4 linked regions of the Arabidopsis thaliana genome follow. The protein of the gene in region 4 interacts with the protein of the main gene of each other region in a pairwise test. Each region holds a gene or a part of one and is shown on either strand. Other genes may lie near its edges.

Region 1 (5,580 bases), on a different chromosome or scaffold from region 4:
AATCTCCAGGAACTGTATCTTAGTGAATGCTCAAGCCTAGTAGAGCTTCCTTCATCTATTGGGAATCTCATTAATCTCAAGAAATTGGATCTAAGTGGATGCTCAAGCTTAGTGGAGCTTCCTTTATCTATTGGAAATCTCATTAATCTCAAGACATTGAATCTAAGTGGATGCTCAAGCTTAGTGGAGCTTCCTTCATCTATTGGGAATCTCAATCTCAAGAAATTGGATCTAAGTGGATGCTCAAGCTTAGTGGAGCTTCCTTCATCTATTGGGAATCTCATTAATCTCAAGAAATTGGATCTAAGTGGATGCTCAAGCTTAGTGGAGCTTCCTTTATCTATTGGGAATCTCATTAATCTCCAGGAACTGTATCTTAGTGAATGCTCAAGCCTAGTAGAGCTTCCTTCATCTATTGGGAATCTCATTAATCTCCAGGAACTGTATCTTAGTGAATGCTCAAGCCTAGTAGAGCTTCCTTCATCTATTGGGAATCTCATTAATCTCAAGAAATTGGATCTCAACAAATGCACGAAGCTGGTATCACTCCCGCAGCTTCCAGATTCCTTATCAGTTTTAGTTGCAGAATCATGTGAGTCCTTGGAGACACTTGCTTGCTCCTTTCCGAATCCCCAAGTTTGGCTCAAATTTATTGACTGCTGGAAACTGAATGAAAAAGGGAGAGATATCATCGTCCAGACATCGACAAGTAACTACACGATGTTACCAGGTAGAGAAGTGCCTGCGTTTTTCACTTACCGAGCTACCACTGGAGGTTCTCTGGCAGTGAAGTTGAATGAGAGGCATTGTCGTACATCTTGTAGATTTAAAGCTTGCATCTTGCTGGTTAGAAAGGGTGACAAAATTGACTGTGAGGAATGGGGGTCCGTATATCTTACCGTCCTAGAGAAACAGAGTGGTCGCAAGTATAGTTTAGAAAGCCCAACTCTATATCCACTTTTAACTGAGCATCTGTACACATTCGAAATCGAAGCAAAAGGTGTGAAATCCGTAGAGCTTGTCATTAAGTTCCAATTCGGCAGGAAAAAATGGGAGATAGGTGAATGCGGGATACGCCCACTCTTGGAGGAGGACACTCACGTCGAAAGTTCTATATAATGACGTGATTGTATTGTCTATTTCCATATACGGTATATATGTTTGTAACACAGTTATTGGTGATGGTAAAAGAGAAGTTATTGGTGAAGGATGCTGAGGAAACGTGAAGCTATTATTACCAATATGGATACTGAAAAGAGATTCATTGGAGACAATGCTCCATTCAACTGGAGCTGTAGAGGTTGTTCTTGCGAAAACATGTGAAGGGATTCTGTAAGGAGGTTTATTAGGGCTCGAGGTCTTTGTTGTTGTGTTGTTAGTGGATCTTTCCATGACTTGTGTCGGAAGATATTGCTCTACATTGTTTTAGAATCTGATCAGGTCTTGGTTCGCGGCTTCTATGGAAGAATAAGAAGAGGAAGAAGAAGAAGAAAGTCTTGAGATTGGATCTTGCTGGTTAGAAAGGGTGACAAAATTGACTGTGAGAACTGGGGGTACGTATATCTTACCATCGTAGAGAAACAGAGTGGTCGCAAGTATAGTTTAAAAAGCCCAACTCTATATCCACTTTTAACAGAGCCTCTGTACACATTCGAAGTTGAAGCAAGAGGTGTGGAATCCATAGAGCTTTTGTTTGAGTTCGAATTCAACTTAAATGACGACTGGGAGATAGGTGAATACGGGATACGCCCACTCTTGGAAGAGGACGCTCACGTCGAAGGTTCTATATAATACGTGATTTTATTGTCTATGTCCATATACTGTATTTATGTTTTGCAACCGTTGGAGTTCAAATCGAAATCATTAAACATGTCTCTACAGTGAGAGATCAACAAAAGTTTAAGTCGAATTCAGTTTCTTGGTTGACAAATACAGGCTTATTAATCCCCCACCAACATAGAAATCCAGTTTCTAATCACACTTTCTAAAAGTATGAACCAATTTTTTTCTTTTTTAAAAATCTCTTTTACCAAATATCTGAAATCATCAAAACATACTAATAAGCATGTACTATACAAAACATAGATGGTTCAAGAAAAAACACACGTGAAATATAAAACAAAAGAAACAACGGTTTATATAAAACTAATCAACACGTGTAGACCGTATGATTCTCAACCGTAAGGTGCTTAGTTCGCCGTTACGGCACCATCCTCATCAGATCTAAGTGCCACATTCCTAGGAAACGAAACCCGATGAGCTTGACACGTGAAACGTCGGTTAGTAGCTTCTAGTAACTGATTTACTTTGGTGGTTAGCCCAAATGAGTGGTCCAATAAAAAAAGAAAGCGGGTAAGTCGTTGTTTCTGTTCTGTGAAGTAACAGATGAAAATTAATGGAAACGATCCCAAATTCCCTAGTCTCTAGCTTCCAACCCTAATTTCCGATTTTTTTGGTCTCCCAATCAATACCTATTTCTTCTCTCTCCTTCACAATCTCTCTTCGTTTCCAAAAGCTCTGTTTTTTTTTGTTGTCCTTTTCTCTCTTTTTTTCTTTCTTCCTCATAAGGAAAGTTTTTATGTTCAGCATCTGATTCATGGAAAGTTTTGTTTTGTCTTAAATTAGGTAAGTTTTCTCTTCCTTCTTGGGGATTTTATTGACAAAAGTATGAATCTTTGAAGTGGCCAAGTGGGTATCGTTTGCTATTCCATTGATTCTTGGTGTTGCTCATTGTTAGTTTCAAAATGTGTGTTGTATTCTCTTTGTTCATATGAGTGGGTCATAAGTTATGCAGGATGGGTAGAGTGAAGCTAAAGATAAAGAAACTACAGAACATGAATGGACGTCAATGTACGTATACGAAAAGGAGACATGGGATTATGAAAAAGGCTAAGGAGTTATCGATCTTATGCGACATAGATGTTGTGCTTCTCATGTTTTCTCCCATGGGAAAGGCTTCAATTTGCATAGGCAAACACAGGTCTGATCACACTTTTTTTTTAATACCAAAGTATCTTTCACATTGTTCTGTTTAGTTTGATGTTCTGTTTTTTGGGTTTTGTTTAGCATTGGAGAAGTCATTGCTAAGTTTGCTCAACTCTCTCCTCAAGAAAGAGCAAAGAGGTTTCTTCTCTTCACTTTTACACATTTCTAGGATCTAGAATCTTTCTGCGTTGACATTACACTGAACATATAACTTCTTCGATTTTTGTCTACGTTTGAACAGGAAGTTGGAAAACCTTGAAGTAAGTAGTGGTTCTTGGCTCTGTTTAGTCTCTCTTCTCTTCTCATCTCCTAAACTATCATTAATACTATTTCTTTTTCATAATATCTTAGGCCTTGAGGAAAACTTTCATGAAAGCTAACCACGATATAGATATATCAAAGTTTCTAGACAGAATTAGGTGTGTTATATTATATCAAGAATATGAGATTCTTTCTGAACTCTTTCTCTGTTTGTTCTTGTTTAGTGTTGTTGTGTATTACTACTAATGTGACTCGTTTTTGTTTTCTTTTACAGTACACCAACAGTTGAGGTATGTACAACTACTATGATGTTAATAAATGATTCTGAAGTATCTTCTAATTCGTTTCGCGACACGGGAATTTTCAGGTGCTTAGCGAAAAAATCAGGTTTCTGCAAACACAATTATCAGATATACACACACGACTAAGGTGCAAATATCTTCTATCTACTTCAGTTAAATCTTCCTTTTGGTTTTGGTATTCTAATTTGTGAGTTACATGGTTTTTTGAGATAGCTACTGGACCGATGTAGATAATATCGACAGCGTAGATGTTTTGCAGCAACTAGAACATTCACTAAGACAATCTCTGGCTCAAATCTATGGTCGTAAGGTATGATCTTCCTCCCAAATAATCAAATAATGAGTTAAGGTCTCATTTAACAAAACTTATGCATCTTATTACGACTTATAGGCGAGCATGCCGCAACGTCAGCAGCAACAACTTATGTCCTCACAATGCAAAAACCAGGTAAGGATTCATCACTCTGGACATTATAAAGATGTTTTGAGATATGTATAAACATAGAGCCAAAACATTGTGTTTATGCAGTTGCAGACTGAAATAGATATAGATTTCGGAATGGAGATGGAGCAACAACTTGAGAATTTCTCATGGGTTCGTACCGATGAAAACATGAATGTTCCTATAGAAGAAGAAGACCCTAATCTGCAGCTTCATCACATGTACAAGGACATAACGTGTTCTGCAAGTTCAGCTCTTGGAAATTACTCAGGACTCTTTAGTAAAAGCTCAGATATCTTACAAAAACTAGAAACCGGTAGCATTCCCGGGACATCGGCTGATCCGAACCAACAATTCAGCAATCTCAGTTTCTTAAATGATCAAAAGCTTAAGCAACTAGCTGAGTGGAATCTATTAGGCAGTCCTGCGGATTACTACGTTAGCCAGATCTTGGAAGCTTCTTATAAGCCTCAGATTGGAGGAAAAAACAACGGCGCTTCTTCTGAAACATTACCTTATGTTGCGGTCTTCGATGATCCTCTATATTTTTGGGTAAATAACGGTTTGTTCATCATTCATTTGTTTTCAAAACTCTGTTATTACTGGTCTTGTTTTGCTGACTGTTTCTGAACATATCTAATATGCAACAGCCAAACTGACAAGTAGCTCCGGAAAAAAACATAAGACGCATTGATCCGAAAACGCGCCTTGTCTTTGTATCAACGAGTCATAAATGCCGAAGAAGCTAGGATTGATAGGTTACATGGACACATACTACACTAGATGATACTATTTTAAGTTACTTGTAACTCGAGAGTCATCTCCAAAAAGCGTAAGCAAAGTATTGTTTCTCGGTTATATACTATTTATAATACAAGTCTAAGCTGTGAACGAGAGATGTAAATAAATGCGTTTACCTCTGCTTACGCATCTATAAAATAACATAATATGAGTTGGCTAGAAAAATTTTGATTTGCAGTTTCCAAATCCTTAACTACACTGCAACCACCACATCAAGAGTTTATTATAATTTGAAGAAAAGTAATATTTAAGATGAACTGATGAAGTATTCATTTTGTCCCCATCAAATGATAGAAGAGTAGTAAACAGAGAAAACTGAATAGTCATTTCGAAAGTGTTCATGCAATTTCCCGATAATAGTTTGGAGTTGTTGAATCTCATAAAGGAAGAGTGCTCAGTGAATGCTTAAAATGAGAGAATGGGCTAAATAAGGCCCGTTGAGAAAATGGACGATGTGAAATATGTTGGTTAGCGTTTCGAGTCTGCGGGGACCCATAGGTACTCATGTGGGTAGTTAGAACAAAATATTGTCAGAAAAGCACATGGCTTCGGTTATTCTGTATCACTCGTGATTACTGTTACTACTACGTGCACGTCATTCTTCTTTTTTGTTTTCTTTTTGTCACAACATGCTATTTGCAGTATAGTATAGTTAATTTCTTATTATTATTCTGATGGCTGATTTTTTATTCTTTCAAATCAGTTGGATTTTTTCCCGCAAAATGCTTCGTATTTTTTTTTGTCTACAAACCACGTATAGAAAATCTATTAGATATGCAGATTTGCTGG
Region 2 (4,036 bases), on a different chromosome or scaffold from region 4:
TCTAATAATTCTATCCCCTACAGTTATTGAAACAGACGTCACCAAAAAAATCAACACCTTTTTTTAATGGCTTTTTATAAACGAACCCCGAAAACTTGTAAAAATAAAATAAAAAATACTTGTTAACTTAAATAAGTAGATAACATATACTTTTTTTTCTTTTCAAATGATAACAAAATAAAAGTGAAGGTAATTGGGTTGGGTGTAGATATCCTTAATTAACCTGCTAATGGTTAGTGTTACTTTGTTAGTGCGTATCTTTGAAAAAGTAACTATCCATTCTCACATCTACTGTATGACACAAATTTAGTGTAAATTAAGAAAGTATATATTCAAAGTTATTGACCAAGAAAAAAGGACCATAGGAAATGTTGAGTTAATCTCTGCAGATGGACCGTACAAGTCTGCAGCAAATACTCTGAATCTGAGATAATGTATTCCTCTGCCAATTGATATCTTTTTGGTCAAATAAATACATCTACGTTATGCTTAAAGTCTCACCAAACCTAGGTATTTCCTTTGTATATATGGGATAATATATGTTTCGTATATGCATTTATAGCTGCACAATTAATTAATAATAAAAAAAGAAATACTTTACATTCTTTTTTAAAATTGCATTATGGTGTTATGAATATTCATATTGCGACAGAAATTCTAACGATAATAACTTAATAAGTCTAGCCGATCCCTTAAAAAAATGATTTATAACAGCGAATTCTGCGACATATGGTTGGATAGTTAATTTTAAAATCAGTAAATGGTAGAATTGATATGGCAACAAGTAGTCAAGACTATATGAAAAACGGACTCGTTTGGGAAGATCATTAACATTCACATTATGAAGAGACCGGCTATGTACGTAGAAAGAGGGTTTCATATAAACCATCAAAATGTCGAGAGTGAGAGATAAATGGGGATTGGTGAAAAGACATGTGAAGTGTGCGTGAGAGATATAATTGTGGTTAGAAAATAAAAGACGCAAGAGTCAAATCAAATGTATGCTTTGAGCCTTTTTGGCTGTTATAGTTGGGACTACTTCAGATGTTTAGTTTCATCCTCATTACTATTTCCAATTTTCGGTAGCAACCAACAACAACAACAAAATCATTAATTATTTTTTTAAAAAAAAAAGATTCTGTAAATTGTAGGTTTCTTTGTAAAGGAAAAACAAATAAACAACCAATTTGTGATGGTTTAGTGGTTAATTCAAATTGGTTGTGAGATAGAATTCAAAACTTTGATAATGCATGAGCAGTGACCACTATGAATGTATTAAATGACAAGAATACCTAACGCTTAATTCATATGTATCAAGCGGAAAATAGTTAAAACTTGGGGTGAAATCGCCTTGTTACTTGAACAAAAAAGAAAAAGAAGAAGATCATATTCATAGTTCGAAATTCAAACAAGATAATACCAAGATTTTGTTTGGCAAGCAATCGTAGAATAATATGATGTTTTGTTTGGGGCAACAAAGAACAAAAGCAGTTGAACTAAAAAAAAAGATGTTTACGGATGTTTAACAACTTTTCATCTCTCTCCACTTTTCCAAACACATCTCCACTGCTCACAACGTAGGAAACGTGTTCCCTGTCCTTTACTCTTTCTCTGTCCTAGCATTTTTATTTATTTCTTTCATCTCTATACGTTTCCACATTCCTAGTTTTTTCAAAATTAAGTAGTGACAATTATTGTGAAAATGTTATTGGATTTTATTGTAAATGTAGATTATAGCTATTTGGTTATAACTTAAACCAGAGATAATAATACTATTTATACAATAATCCTAAATTAAAATATCTAGAATGTAAATTAAACTGAGTGTTGAAAACAATTTACAATGCATAAATACAAATGTATAGAAATATATATCAGCTTTCAAATCAGTCCGTGACAGTCCATGAACCTTTTAACAGTTGTATAACAGCATTTTGTCAGAAAACAAGGTCACAACATATACATACACGCACATAGCTTAGAGCCATACGTAATAATATCACACAAATATCAATTATGATGTTCAAAGTCATATTTAATATTTGCTCTTCTCCTCCAATGAGGATGGAGATGGTGCATGCTGACGTGGCGTCTCTCTCCATAACACCTTGCTTCCCGTCTTCTTTGTCTTCGTCCTCACATCATCACTATAACCAACAACAACATTGTATCATGTCGGAAGATCAACACCATTCGATGGATCAGACCACTTCATCGGACTACTTCTCTTTAAATATCGACAATGCTCAACATCTCCGTAGCTACTACACAAGTCATAGAGAAGAAGACATGAACCCTAATCTAAGTGATTACAGTAATTGCAACAAGAAAGACACAACAGTCTATAGAAGCTGTGGACACTCGTCAAAAGCTTCGGTGTCTAGAGGACATTGGAGACCAGCTGAAGATACTAAGCTCAAAGAACTAGTCGCCGTCTACGGTCCACAAAACTGGAACCTCATAGCTGAGAAGCTCCAAGGAAGATCCGGTACGTTAATTCTGTCACTTGATTAAGCTTTTACAAGATTCACGTTCTTGAGATTTTGGGTGTTAATGTTGAGCAGGGAAAAGCTGTAGGCTTCGATGGTTTAACCAACTAGACCCAAGGATAAATAGAAGAGCCTTCACTGAGGAAGAAGAAGAGAGGCTAATGCAAGCTCATAGGCTTTATGGTAACAAATGGGCGATGATAGCGAGGCTTTTCCCTGGTAGGACTGATAATTCTGTGAAGAACCATTGGCATGTTATAATGGCTCGCAAGTTTAGGGAACAATCTTCTTCTTACCGTAGGAGGAAGACGATGGTTTCTCTTAAGCCACTCATTAACCCTAATCCTCACATTTTCAATGATTTTGACCCTACCCGGTTAGCTTTGACCCACCTTGCTAGTAGTGACCATAAGCAGCTTATGTTACCAGTTCCTTGCTTCCCAGGTTTGAGTTTTTGTGTTCTCTTTTCTTTCAGTTTTTAATTCCATATCATTTCTTAATTTTCTTCCATTTTTTGTACTATTTAGGTTATGATCATGAAAATGAGAGTCCATTAATGGTGGATATGTTCGAAACCCAAATGATGGTTGGCGATTACATTGCATGGACACAAGAGGCAACTACATTCGATTTCTTAAACCAAACCGGGAAGAGTGAGATATTTGAAAGAATCAATGAGGAGAAGAAACCACCATTTTTCGATTTTCTTGGGTTGGGGACGGTGTGATCATCATCGATCATGAACAAGACTGGCTTGAGTTAGTTAACAAAAGTTATGAGATGATTTGAGTCCTTGTCGATGTAGTTATGTTGCGTTAATAATTGTAGATTAAATGTTGTTGTCCTTAGTCACATGCAACATTCCTTACCCCGTGTTAATTAGCACGTACATATATACCACTCGTTGGTTAAAATCAATGCTTTCATTTATGTAGATGCCAAATTGTCTCACCTTTACCAAAATTGATTTGAAGTGTAAAACATTTGTACCACTTTATAGTTCTAACTAACTCTTATCTTATATGAAAATGTCAGATTCCGTCATTAATGTCCAAAAATTGTATGGAGTGAGAGTAACAACATGCTTCGTATATGAAGAGGAAGGTGACATATGTTAAAACAGGGACGATGATGTGGATATAAGAAACGACAAAGAACGATAGAGAAGTCAAATTAAAAGGAATAATGTACTACATTGTATTTATTTGGAGTATGCAGAAGTTTAATAACAACATGCGATATTGATGAGGTTGCAAGATTCAGGCACAGATTCTGCAACAGAAAGTCCAAACATCCACTCTTTAATATTCTCACACCCATTGCATTTTTTTATTCTCTCCAAAGCAAAAACATATTTTCATTTCATTGCCCCTTACTTATGCGTCTCATCGACCTCATGTCACCCACATGGCCCCTTCTCCTAGTTATTGTTCATTGTAATAATCATTTGATTTGTATCATGATACTATTTGTATACGTCATTGTAGTTTTAGTCCAGCTTAACACATTTCTATGACTAAATCGAAATAATTGATTGATTTATGAAA
Region 3 (4,367 bases), 2.2 Mb from region 4:
GAATTAACGTAAGGTCGATGCAACAACTACTCCACATGTTGGCTATCAGTATTGCGTCACTTTCTTGAGCTAAAAAACAGATAAGAGGAAAATAAAATTTCAAAAAAGTACATCTGAATATTCAGGCAATTTAATATCTTAACTCATACGTACATGGCCAAACTTAGCTTTCATGTCAGAAGTTTGATAAAAGTTTTCAATTCCAAGATAGTATATCTATTCACACAAAACATTCCGATTTTAAATTATGTTGTTACTAAATAATAATAATAATAACGACGCAACTATAATTAATTAGGCTAACTATAACCATATTTGTTTTATAAAAACAAATTAAAAAAAAAATTAAGTTAGCATACGAAAAAGGTGACAGGCCAAAACACATTCAAACCCATCTGAATTCACATTTTCTATATTTTTTATAACAAATAATTTTCTTGCATGTTTTATACACAAAGAAATTGACATCTTATGTTTCTTTTTGTATAAAATAGCATGTCAATTTCTACAAGGTAAAGGATTTTTCCAAGTAATTATCCATGGATTGAACCCTAGATTCGTATTTTCTAATTGTTATTCTTTATTTCGAGCACAAGACATCGCATAATTTTTTTTGTCAGTTAATTTTTTTTCGCATATATAGAACCAATCAATCTATACTCTATATGTGAATACCCGAACGCCTAACCTAATAAAAGCATACTAAACTGAAGGCAAAAAAGGTTCAAAACCAGGTCCATTAGAATGCCCAATAGAAAAAGTCACTTAGGGAAATATCAACTAACTCAAAAGGAATAAGAAGAAATGGGCTCCAAACTCAATCACTGACACACTGGTCCTGATCGGATGCTCTCCATCTCAAAACGGCACGCCCAACCACGTAGGCTAGCACCCTCCCTAAAGAGTAATTAGCGGGCATTTTCCCCCATCATATTTGAGGTCCACCGATTAGTGTGAACTTTAGTTTACGTGTTTGTAATATTTTTTTTTGTCTGTAATATTTTAATTTATTTTTATTTTGTTCCAAATGATCGATCTTCTCAACTAACAAATCATTCATGCAGTTTTACTTGATGAGGGATTTCATATACAATTTTACAATTGACACTACAAAGAGTCAAAGATTTACATTAGAAGGTTCTCTCTACACCATGCTAATGATAGACAAATTTACCCTTTGACAGACCAGACCACTCATCAGACGTGGCCGTCATCAGCCGAGTTAACTCCTTGTAATCTTTCTCAAAAGCAGTATCGGTTAAAGATAGTGAAATGAGGAATGTCATCACCTAGAAAAGAGATTCAAATTTTGCATGAGGGGATAAACAGTGTTTGAAACTCTTTAAACTAAGTTGAATAATGTGGTTGTTCGAGCCAACATTCCATCTAATGTAGTTTAATGTTGGCTCGAACAAAAAGATCAACCTTACAAACCAAAAGATTAATACCAAGTGGAAAATATTGATAATTTATGTATGTTTCTTTTGGACGTACACGTTTCAATAGTTTGAAGAATTTCTTAGGTAAACCATAAATTATATATGTATATATATATATATATATATATATATATTCTTCTTCATTTATTGATATAGATATGTCAAAATTAGAGTATTACCATTATAATTTTTTGGTTATAATTAAATTCCAAGTTGGAACAAATTTTGATCTCTTTAATTTGACATATGTTGATAATGTGTGTTTCTTTTGGATGTACACGTTTCAATAGTTCGAGAAATCTATTATTCAAATCATAAATGTTAATTAAATATATTTTAGAAACATTTTTTGAATTTAATTATTTTCATATATATATATATTAAATTTAAAGTATTATCATTTAATATTTTGGTTATTTTTGTAGTCAAAGTTGGAACAAATTTTGATCTATATACACATTTAATTAGCTTGTAATTTTGTCATCAAACTCATTTACTCAATGGCCTCATCCAACGGTTAGGAATCAACCTTAACCAAACATCATATCTAATTATATATCCTTTCCCTTTCCTCCCCCAATAAACTATTAACAATAAATATTTAATAATTAAGAGAAGAATTGAAAAGATATCTACCAATCCTAAATAAGAAGAAAAAAACATAAAATCTTCATTTATCAACAATAAAATAAAATTTATATCTTCCTTTCTCTCTTACCCTTAAAATCTGATTTTTCCTCCTCTTGTCTCAAAAATCAATCATCTAATACCCTTTCTCTCTCCCTCTACTGATCATCTTCATAAAGGTAATGCAAATGGCAAGAGCATGTTCTTCGTAATTTATTACATTGTTCATAAGGTTTTGTCTCGCTCTTCCCTTTTTGTATATATTGTAATTATTGTCTAAGAAAAACAAAACAGGAGAGAGATTAATGGAGGAGCCGAAATGGCTCGAAGGTCTCTTAAGAACAAACTTCTTCAGCATTTGCCCTCGACATCGCGAGACACCGCGAAATGAGTGCAACATGTTCTGTCTCTCCTGTCAAAACGCTGCGTTTTGCTTCTACTGCCGCTCCTCCTTTCACATTGATCATCCCGTCCTTCAGGTCCTTCATTTTCTCAACACACAATGCATACACATATATATATATATCACTTTTGACTCAATCCAATTCTTTATCATTAACATTGAGACAGATAAGAAGATCGTCGTATCATGATGTGGTGAGAGTATCGGAGATAGAGAATGCATTGGACATAAGAGGAGTGCAAACTTATGTCATCAATAGCGCGAGGGTTCTCTTCTTAAACGAGAGACCTCAGCCTAAGAACTCCTCCCATGGTGCCGCCTCCTCCACTCCGAAAACCATGTCCTACTTCTGTGAGACATGTTGCAGAACCCTTCTTGATCCCTTTCGCTTCTGTTCCTTGGGTTGCAAGGTTCGTTTTCCTACACCTTTTCTCAATGCAAAATTCCTTTTTGTAGCTGGATGGATAAATCATGAGCAAAAACCTGTAAACTTCATATCATAGAAAAACGAATGCATAGTTATAAGTCAATCTATCTAACGAGCACTTTACAACTGGACCAACAAAATTGGTTTATCATATTTTCATCATTATTACTAATATCTTCGCATTTATTTGTCCGATATAAAATGAGGAATCGGTTTAAGGATACACCGTATAATGTTTAGTTACTTGTATGGTAAATTCATTGAATCAACTATATTCAAACTCGCTTAATACATGTTGTTTGCCTCATATAATGTATCTTAAGAAAATATATACGAGGTTAGATGTTTGTATATATGTATATGGTACATTTTGCTCAAAAAAAAAGTATATGGTACATTTGCATAACGGAAATGTATGATGTGATCATAATAAAAATGTCAGGTTGAAGGAATGAGGAAGAATAAGGAAGAGGAAGAAGAAAGATTGCGTAAAGAAAGACAACAAGAAACGCACAAAGGCACGCATCCTCCAACTCATACCTCTAATTCTAGGCGACGAAAAGGCATTCCTCATAGAGCTCCTTTTGCCTCCTAATTTAATCAATCTTTTTCAAGAAATAAAATAAAACTTTTCTTTAACTTATTTTTATCTTTTTAAAATCATCAGTTAATGGTCCACCCAAACATAGCATAGTATATGCGTATTGGGTGGGTGTATTTATATATTCCCAATTTGTACAATGTCCAGCTCACTTCTCACAATCCTCTCACATGGAAAACCAACAATTTGTATAGAAGAAAATCCTAATTTCCCTATATTTTTTTTTTGTAAAACATTAAATACATTTCTAGCTAATTGTATAACATATATCTATACTGTAGGATTGTAGGATGGACTCTATTTGATATACTAATTAATTTTTGTGAAATATAAGTCTTACCTTTAAAACACATTATACAAAAATTAAGAGTTCAAAAAGACTCTTTGTGGAAGGAAGGAATAACATGAAAATTTAGGCATTAGTTAGACTATGAGAATGTCGGTGGAGATATACTGTATACTTTATTTCCGAGTAGATAATCTAATAACTAATCGATGTGGTGGTTTGAAGTTACCTGTCTCTATATCCATCTAGCTACTAAATATTTTAGTTTAGACTGAAATTGTGTGGGGTTTAGGGATCAATAATTGTGTATCTAAATGGTTTTTTTTTTCTTTTCTTTTTTTTTGGGAAAATATCTAAATGGTTAAGGGACATGAATGTGTATATGTTTTGTATAGACACATGAAATGTTCTTCGACATTAATTCTAAGCTGTTATATAATTAAAATAGTTTGTCGTAGGCGTTAGGTATTCGAAAGGTACAGTTACTTAAAAAAGAAAATGAAACTTTCACTTATTTACATAAATAATTTAAGTGGTAAAATTTTACGTAAAGGATGGTCTTATTTTAGTACGCATCGACCTTA
Region 4 (4,621 bases):
TATCATTGTGGTTTAAGTTGATTTATGATTTATAAAAGGTTGTATACATACATATGTTATAACGAAATTGTGAGGACATATTTTTAAGATCTACTAAAAAGTTACTTTTAATTTCTTTGGAGAATGTTGTTTTTGTTGGATTTGAAAGACTTATAGACTCAACCCAGAGATTTTAGTGAATGGTGAACCAAAATCTGACCAAGAGTTTTCTTCGAGTGAGAACCATGTGTGTGTATTTATTCAGTTTAGTTTACATAGGATCTTTCAATTAGAGAAAAATTATTTATATAAAATTATTTTATCTAGGTTGGAAGACCAATTTTAAACCAAATAATAAAGTTATTAACATTTTCAGTGCCACTTTTATATTTTCTTTATTTTAGCGAAGATTTTGCGTCAATGTACGATTTTAAAATAAAGATGGACATCTCTAATTCATCAAAATGACACAAGAAAAAATATTTAGCATTAGAGCATGAAAATCAAATCAAATCATGAACTGATGATATCATTTATTTCAGTCTTTCTTATTTTTTGTTTTATTTTTGCCTATTAGCTAGCCTAATGCCAGTTTTATCTCCCTACATCCAAATTCGAGCCCACGCAAGTTTCTGAACAAGATTTACACGATTTGATATTTCAATAACAAATTGGGCTAGACAATAGTAAATCTTGATGCGTTAAAAAATACGTAGAATCACCTACTTATATTCTATAATAGCAACAATATATATATTTAATAAAAGAGAAGTTGTGATTATTAAAACTAAAAAGATAATGTGGGAAGCATTTGAATGATACATCTTTATGCGATTAAAGTTTGATTTAACATGCTACCAAACCATATAATAAAAGTTTTCTAAATATATTTCTGCTTTACTACTTTTGAAGATTTGGCATGTGGCCGTTGCTATAGTTTTTCTCTTCTTTATTATCTTCTTATTTCGAATAAACTAACTAACCGAAAATTTAGAGCACAAAAATGTATTTAAAAATCATTAATTTGTTGTTGGACGTATTATTCATTGATAAGATTATTTTTTCTTTTATTTATTTGTTAGATAAATAAGATTCTCTTTCGTTCTTAAATAGCTTTTCGTTAAACATAAATATTTTGTTTAATTCCAATTAATTTTGAAATTACTTTATCACGATTGATAAAAAACACACAAAAAATAACATATTGAGAAAATATATCAGTATTCGGTATTTATTTTTAGTTTGGTAGTTACACCAGGTACCAACTAATATATAGATTCTCTAAGTACCTTTCAAATACTAAAATCATATAAACAACTTACTCAAACATTTTGTGGAAAAGAAAAAAACATTTTTGATACGAACCAATATGAAATAAAAAGCTGGATTTAGTTAAAATCAGATAAATTTTGATTGAAATAAAAACCAAAAACGAACGTTGTGATTGAATTTTATGTTAGTTGTTTCATGTCCAACCACTAATTACACCAACTACACATATAAATCAATCGACCAACGACACCATATTCATTTTTTTGAGCCTCAAATTTATTTTATTTATTTGAACTTCTCTCTTTTTCTTTGTTCTGTTGTAAATCTAGATTTGAATACAATGGCGACAAATTAGATGAATGGACAATGCATGTGTTAAATATGGACTGTTTCTTCATCACTAAGCTATAACAAACATTTGGTTTAACAATTTTAATCACTTTTTTATTTTCAGAAAGTGACCTTAAACGAGTCCTATTGGCTATTGGTGTCCCACAAAATATTTTTCTACTTTCATATAAATCATAAAAGTTGGGTCTTGAAAAATAATACCAACCCCACATAGTGCCACATGACTCAAAAGTCGTTATACGTATAAAATACGGTCATACATAGTATTTCAAAAATTACCAAAATACCCTTACCAATTTTCCTTTAAATTCCAGTCTCCTTCAAATCAATGCTTCCCTTTTCTCCTTCTCTTCTCTCTCTTCTCTCTAATTAAACAATTTTAAACCGGTCATTATGATGTCTACTGTACCGGCCTTTACCTTTACTGAACCGGGTTTGGTTAACCAATTATCGGATTTCCAGACCGGATTCACTCCTTGGGAATTGAACTGCTCCGATCTCTTCTCTACAATCCATCTCGAACCGGTCGTACCGAGTCCTTGTTCTGGTGAATCCGATGCCGGTTCTGTCAAAATTAACACCGATTTTAACGGTTTTGACGAATCGTGTATCGGTTCCATCAAAACTAACTCCGGTTCTGATGATTCCAACCTTTTCCACGGCGTACCGAGTCCTCAATCCGACGAATTGGACTCAAAAAACACGAAAATCCGAAGTAACGCCACGAATCATAACCGGAACAAATTGAACCGGTCGGTTTTGCAGGTGACTGACGACCGTAAACGCAAACGGATGGAATCAAACCGAGAATCAGCGAAGCGGTCGAGGATGCGTAAACAAAGACACATTGATAATTTAAAAGACGAAGCAAATCGTCTCGGTTTAGAAAACCGGGAACTCGCAAACCGGCTTCGAATTGTTTTGTACAACATCGCATTAATGTGTACGGACAACAATCAGCTTTTGTCGGAACAAGAGATTCTCAGACGGAGATTCTTGGAGATGAGGCAGATTTTGATTTTCAGACAGCTTCAGCTGAATCCATCATTGATCATCAATCATCATCATATGATTTGAAAGAAAAAAAAATAGAAAAAAAAAAGTTTAGAACGGAAAAAAAAAATTAGATAAAAGCGAAGTATTTTTATTTCTGTGTCTCTTTTGATCACTCTTATGTGTAAATGAGAATATGAGTGTTACTTTAGATGATGGACTTCGTTTTTTTTTTGCTGTTGTTTCGTACTTGGGCCTCTCTAATCATATTTATCAAGGCCCATTAGTGAGTGGGCTAAAAGATATAAGCCTAATCAACTACTCTTGTTGACGACTACCACCCTATCATGTATTTAAAACCTTCTGCATCAAGTTGGAGTCGTCGGCTTTGAGGGTTGGAATGAAACCTCTACGTCAACCAGAGTCTTTCACAGACTTCCCAATTCCCATGTTCAGCTTGTTTCCTCTTTGATTCCTTCTTATTCCTCAAGTAGACAGACCGCAAGATTCTTCCTACAAGCCTTTTTTTTATCAAGTACGTAGACGGAATTAAGTATAGTTAGAAAAATATATGCAAATTTGAATAACGTATTATTTGTTTAAAATATATGCAAAACTATTAACCATTAACCATTAACCATTAACCATTTTGGGAAAAGATTGTTAATGATCTAACACTAAATTTATCATATGAAAGCAACAAGGTTATGTACTCCAAACTATATCTAATACTGTACTCTTGAGTCTTGAAGCATCTTGCATCTAGTGAAGATATTTATTCGGTAAGAATTGTCGTGTCTAGTGCAAGTGGAAGTGTCTGGATCGTCCCACACATGCCACGTGTTAGAATAAAATCTCCAAAAATTACACAAAAAAATCCAAATTAAAAACGTTATGGACCATCCATACATTGAGAGATTGGTCCTCCTCCACTCTTTATAATCAATTTCATTTTTTCTTGAAGAAAAACAAAAACAGGAATAAGTGAAAGGTAGGGTTAGAGAGAGAAGAGCAAAAAGTAGTTACAGGGACCCAAAAGTGGAGAAACAGAACCCAAAAAAAAAAAAAAAAAAACTAAAGTTGGAGACAGTTGTTTTGAAGAAGTGTTCTATGTCCAATCCACAAACAATGTTGCCTCTTGTCTGCAACTAGGAAACCTCTCGTCAAAATCTCTCAAGGATCACAAATTTTGTGACACTAACACTTGGTTTTAATTTTGTGGTTAGTGAAAAAAGTAAAAATTTGTATATTTTTCAGTTTTAGAACATTGTGTACATAGACTTCTTAAAACCAGGGATTTAGCTCAACGGCTATAAGAGGAACAATAAAATCAAGAATTTGATGATTGAGAACAAATAAGAGGAAAAACAAAGAACAAAGATTATGAAGAAAAAAACACACATCTCTCCTTTAGTTTCTTCTTGCTTTATATAGAAAGAAAACAGCAACAGAAACAACAATGCATCAAGTAAGAAAAACCAGAAACAGAGAAAAACAGAGTGTTTTTGTTTTCGCAATTGTCCTTAGTTTTTTTTTTTCAGTTTCACAGAGAAGGAGCAGTAGCAGAAGTATTCATCAGCGTGGTCGGGCCAAGCGGATCTTTTCCATCACCGTTCTTATTGTTGTTATCGCCAATGATGGTGCTGCTTGCCGAGCTGCTGTTAGAAAGAGAACCAAATGTCGACTTTTGCAAGACGCCTGTTGGAGAGGAACCAAACTTGGGACTATTGGTCGTGCTGTTTAGTACCTCGCCGAGTGGACCTCCCATGGAGTTGTTATTACCCCAGGAGATTGGTATCCAGTTATTCGTCTTTTTCCCGGGGTCAAGAAACTCGGTGTTGACGCCTAATCCCATGTGGATCGCGGGGTCAAACTCACGCGATAACCTTAAAGGTGAGAGTGCAAGTTTATCTTGAACAGGGGAAGATGGAGCCATAGGGATTGACATTGAGAGCTGAGTCCAATCCGATTTCAGCTCTTCGGGCCAAGAATCGACATTGTTGTGATTCCCCGCGTGCTTGGCTTG

What was found.
Region 1: the proteins of bZIP6 (region 4) and AGL94 interact in a two-hybrid assay, tested with the Arabidopsis thaliana proteins (one large-scale study listed by BioGRID).
Region 2: the proteins of bZIP6 (region 4) and MYB105 interact in a two-hybrid assay, tested with the Arabidopsis thaliana proteins (one large-scale study listed by BioGRID).
Region 3: the proteins of bZIP6 (region 4) and AT2G27930 interact in a two-hybrid assay, tested with the Arabidopsis thaliana proteins (one large-scale study listed by BioGRID).

The regions. Positions count from the first base shown.
Region 1 is NC_003070.9:26,144,375-26,149,954, reverse strand, and holds AGL94 (AGAMOUS-like 94), read left to right. Parts: upstream 1-2,203; 5' UTR 2,204-2,625; intron 2,626-2,794; 5' UTR 2,795-2,795; coding exon 2,796-2,980; intron 2,981-3,066; coding exon 3,067-3,123; intron 3,124-3,226; coding exon 3,227-3,245; intron 3,246-3,292; exon of another isoform or gene 3,293-3,336; coding exon 3,337-3,404; intron 3,405-3,520; coding exon 3,521-3,536; intron 3,537-3,613; coding exon 3,614-3,675; intron 3,676-3,761; coding exon 3,762-3,858; intron 3,859-3,939; coding exon 3,940-3,996; intron 3,997-4,077; coding exon 4,078-4,620; 3' UTR 4,621-4,640; coding exon of another isoform or gene 4,641-4,649; 3' UTR 4,650-4,954; downstream 4,955-5,580. Other genes in the region: AT1G69550 (disease resistance protein (TIR-NBS-LRR class)), read left to right, coding at 1-1,119.
Region 2 is NC_003070.9:26,155,691-26,159,726, forward strand, and holds MYB105 (myb domain protein 105), read left to right. Parts: upstream 1-2,011; 5' UTR 2,012-2,016; coding exon 2,017-2,488; intron 2,489-2,564; coding exon 2,565-2,933; intron 2,934-3,016; coding exon 3,017-3,216; 3' UTR 3,217-3,404; downstream 3,405-4,036. UniProt on the Arabidopsis thaliana protein: Probable transcription factor that involved in boundary specification, meristem initiation and maintenance, and organ patterning. Functions in both lateral organ separation and axillary meristem formation.
Region 3 is NC_003071.7:11,889,998-11,894,364, forward strand, and holds AT2G27930 (PLATZ transcription factor family protein), read left to right. Parts: upstream 1-2,099; 5' UTR 2,100-2,245; exon of another isoform or gene 2,246-2,360; 5' UTR 2,361-2,371; coding exon of another isoform or gene 2,372-2,453; coding exon 2,454-2,879; coding exon of another isoform or gene 2,880-2,972; exon of another isoform or gene 2,973-3,338; coding exon 3,339-3,491; 3' UTR 3,492-3,731; downstream 3,732-4,367.
Region 4 is NC_003071.7:9,730,659-9,735,279, reverse strand, and holds bZIP6 (basic leucine-zipper 6), read left to right. Parts: upstream 1-1,879; 5' UTR 1,880-1,995; coding exon 1,996-2,679; 3' UTR 2,680-2,704; exon of another isoform or gene 2,705-2,988; intron 2,989-3,645; 3' UTR 3,646-4,001; downstream 4,002-4,621. Other genes in the region: GRF1 (growth-regulating factor 1), read right to left, coding at 4,139-4,621.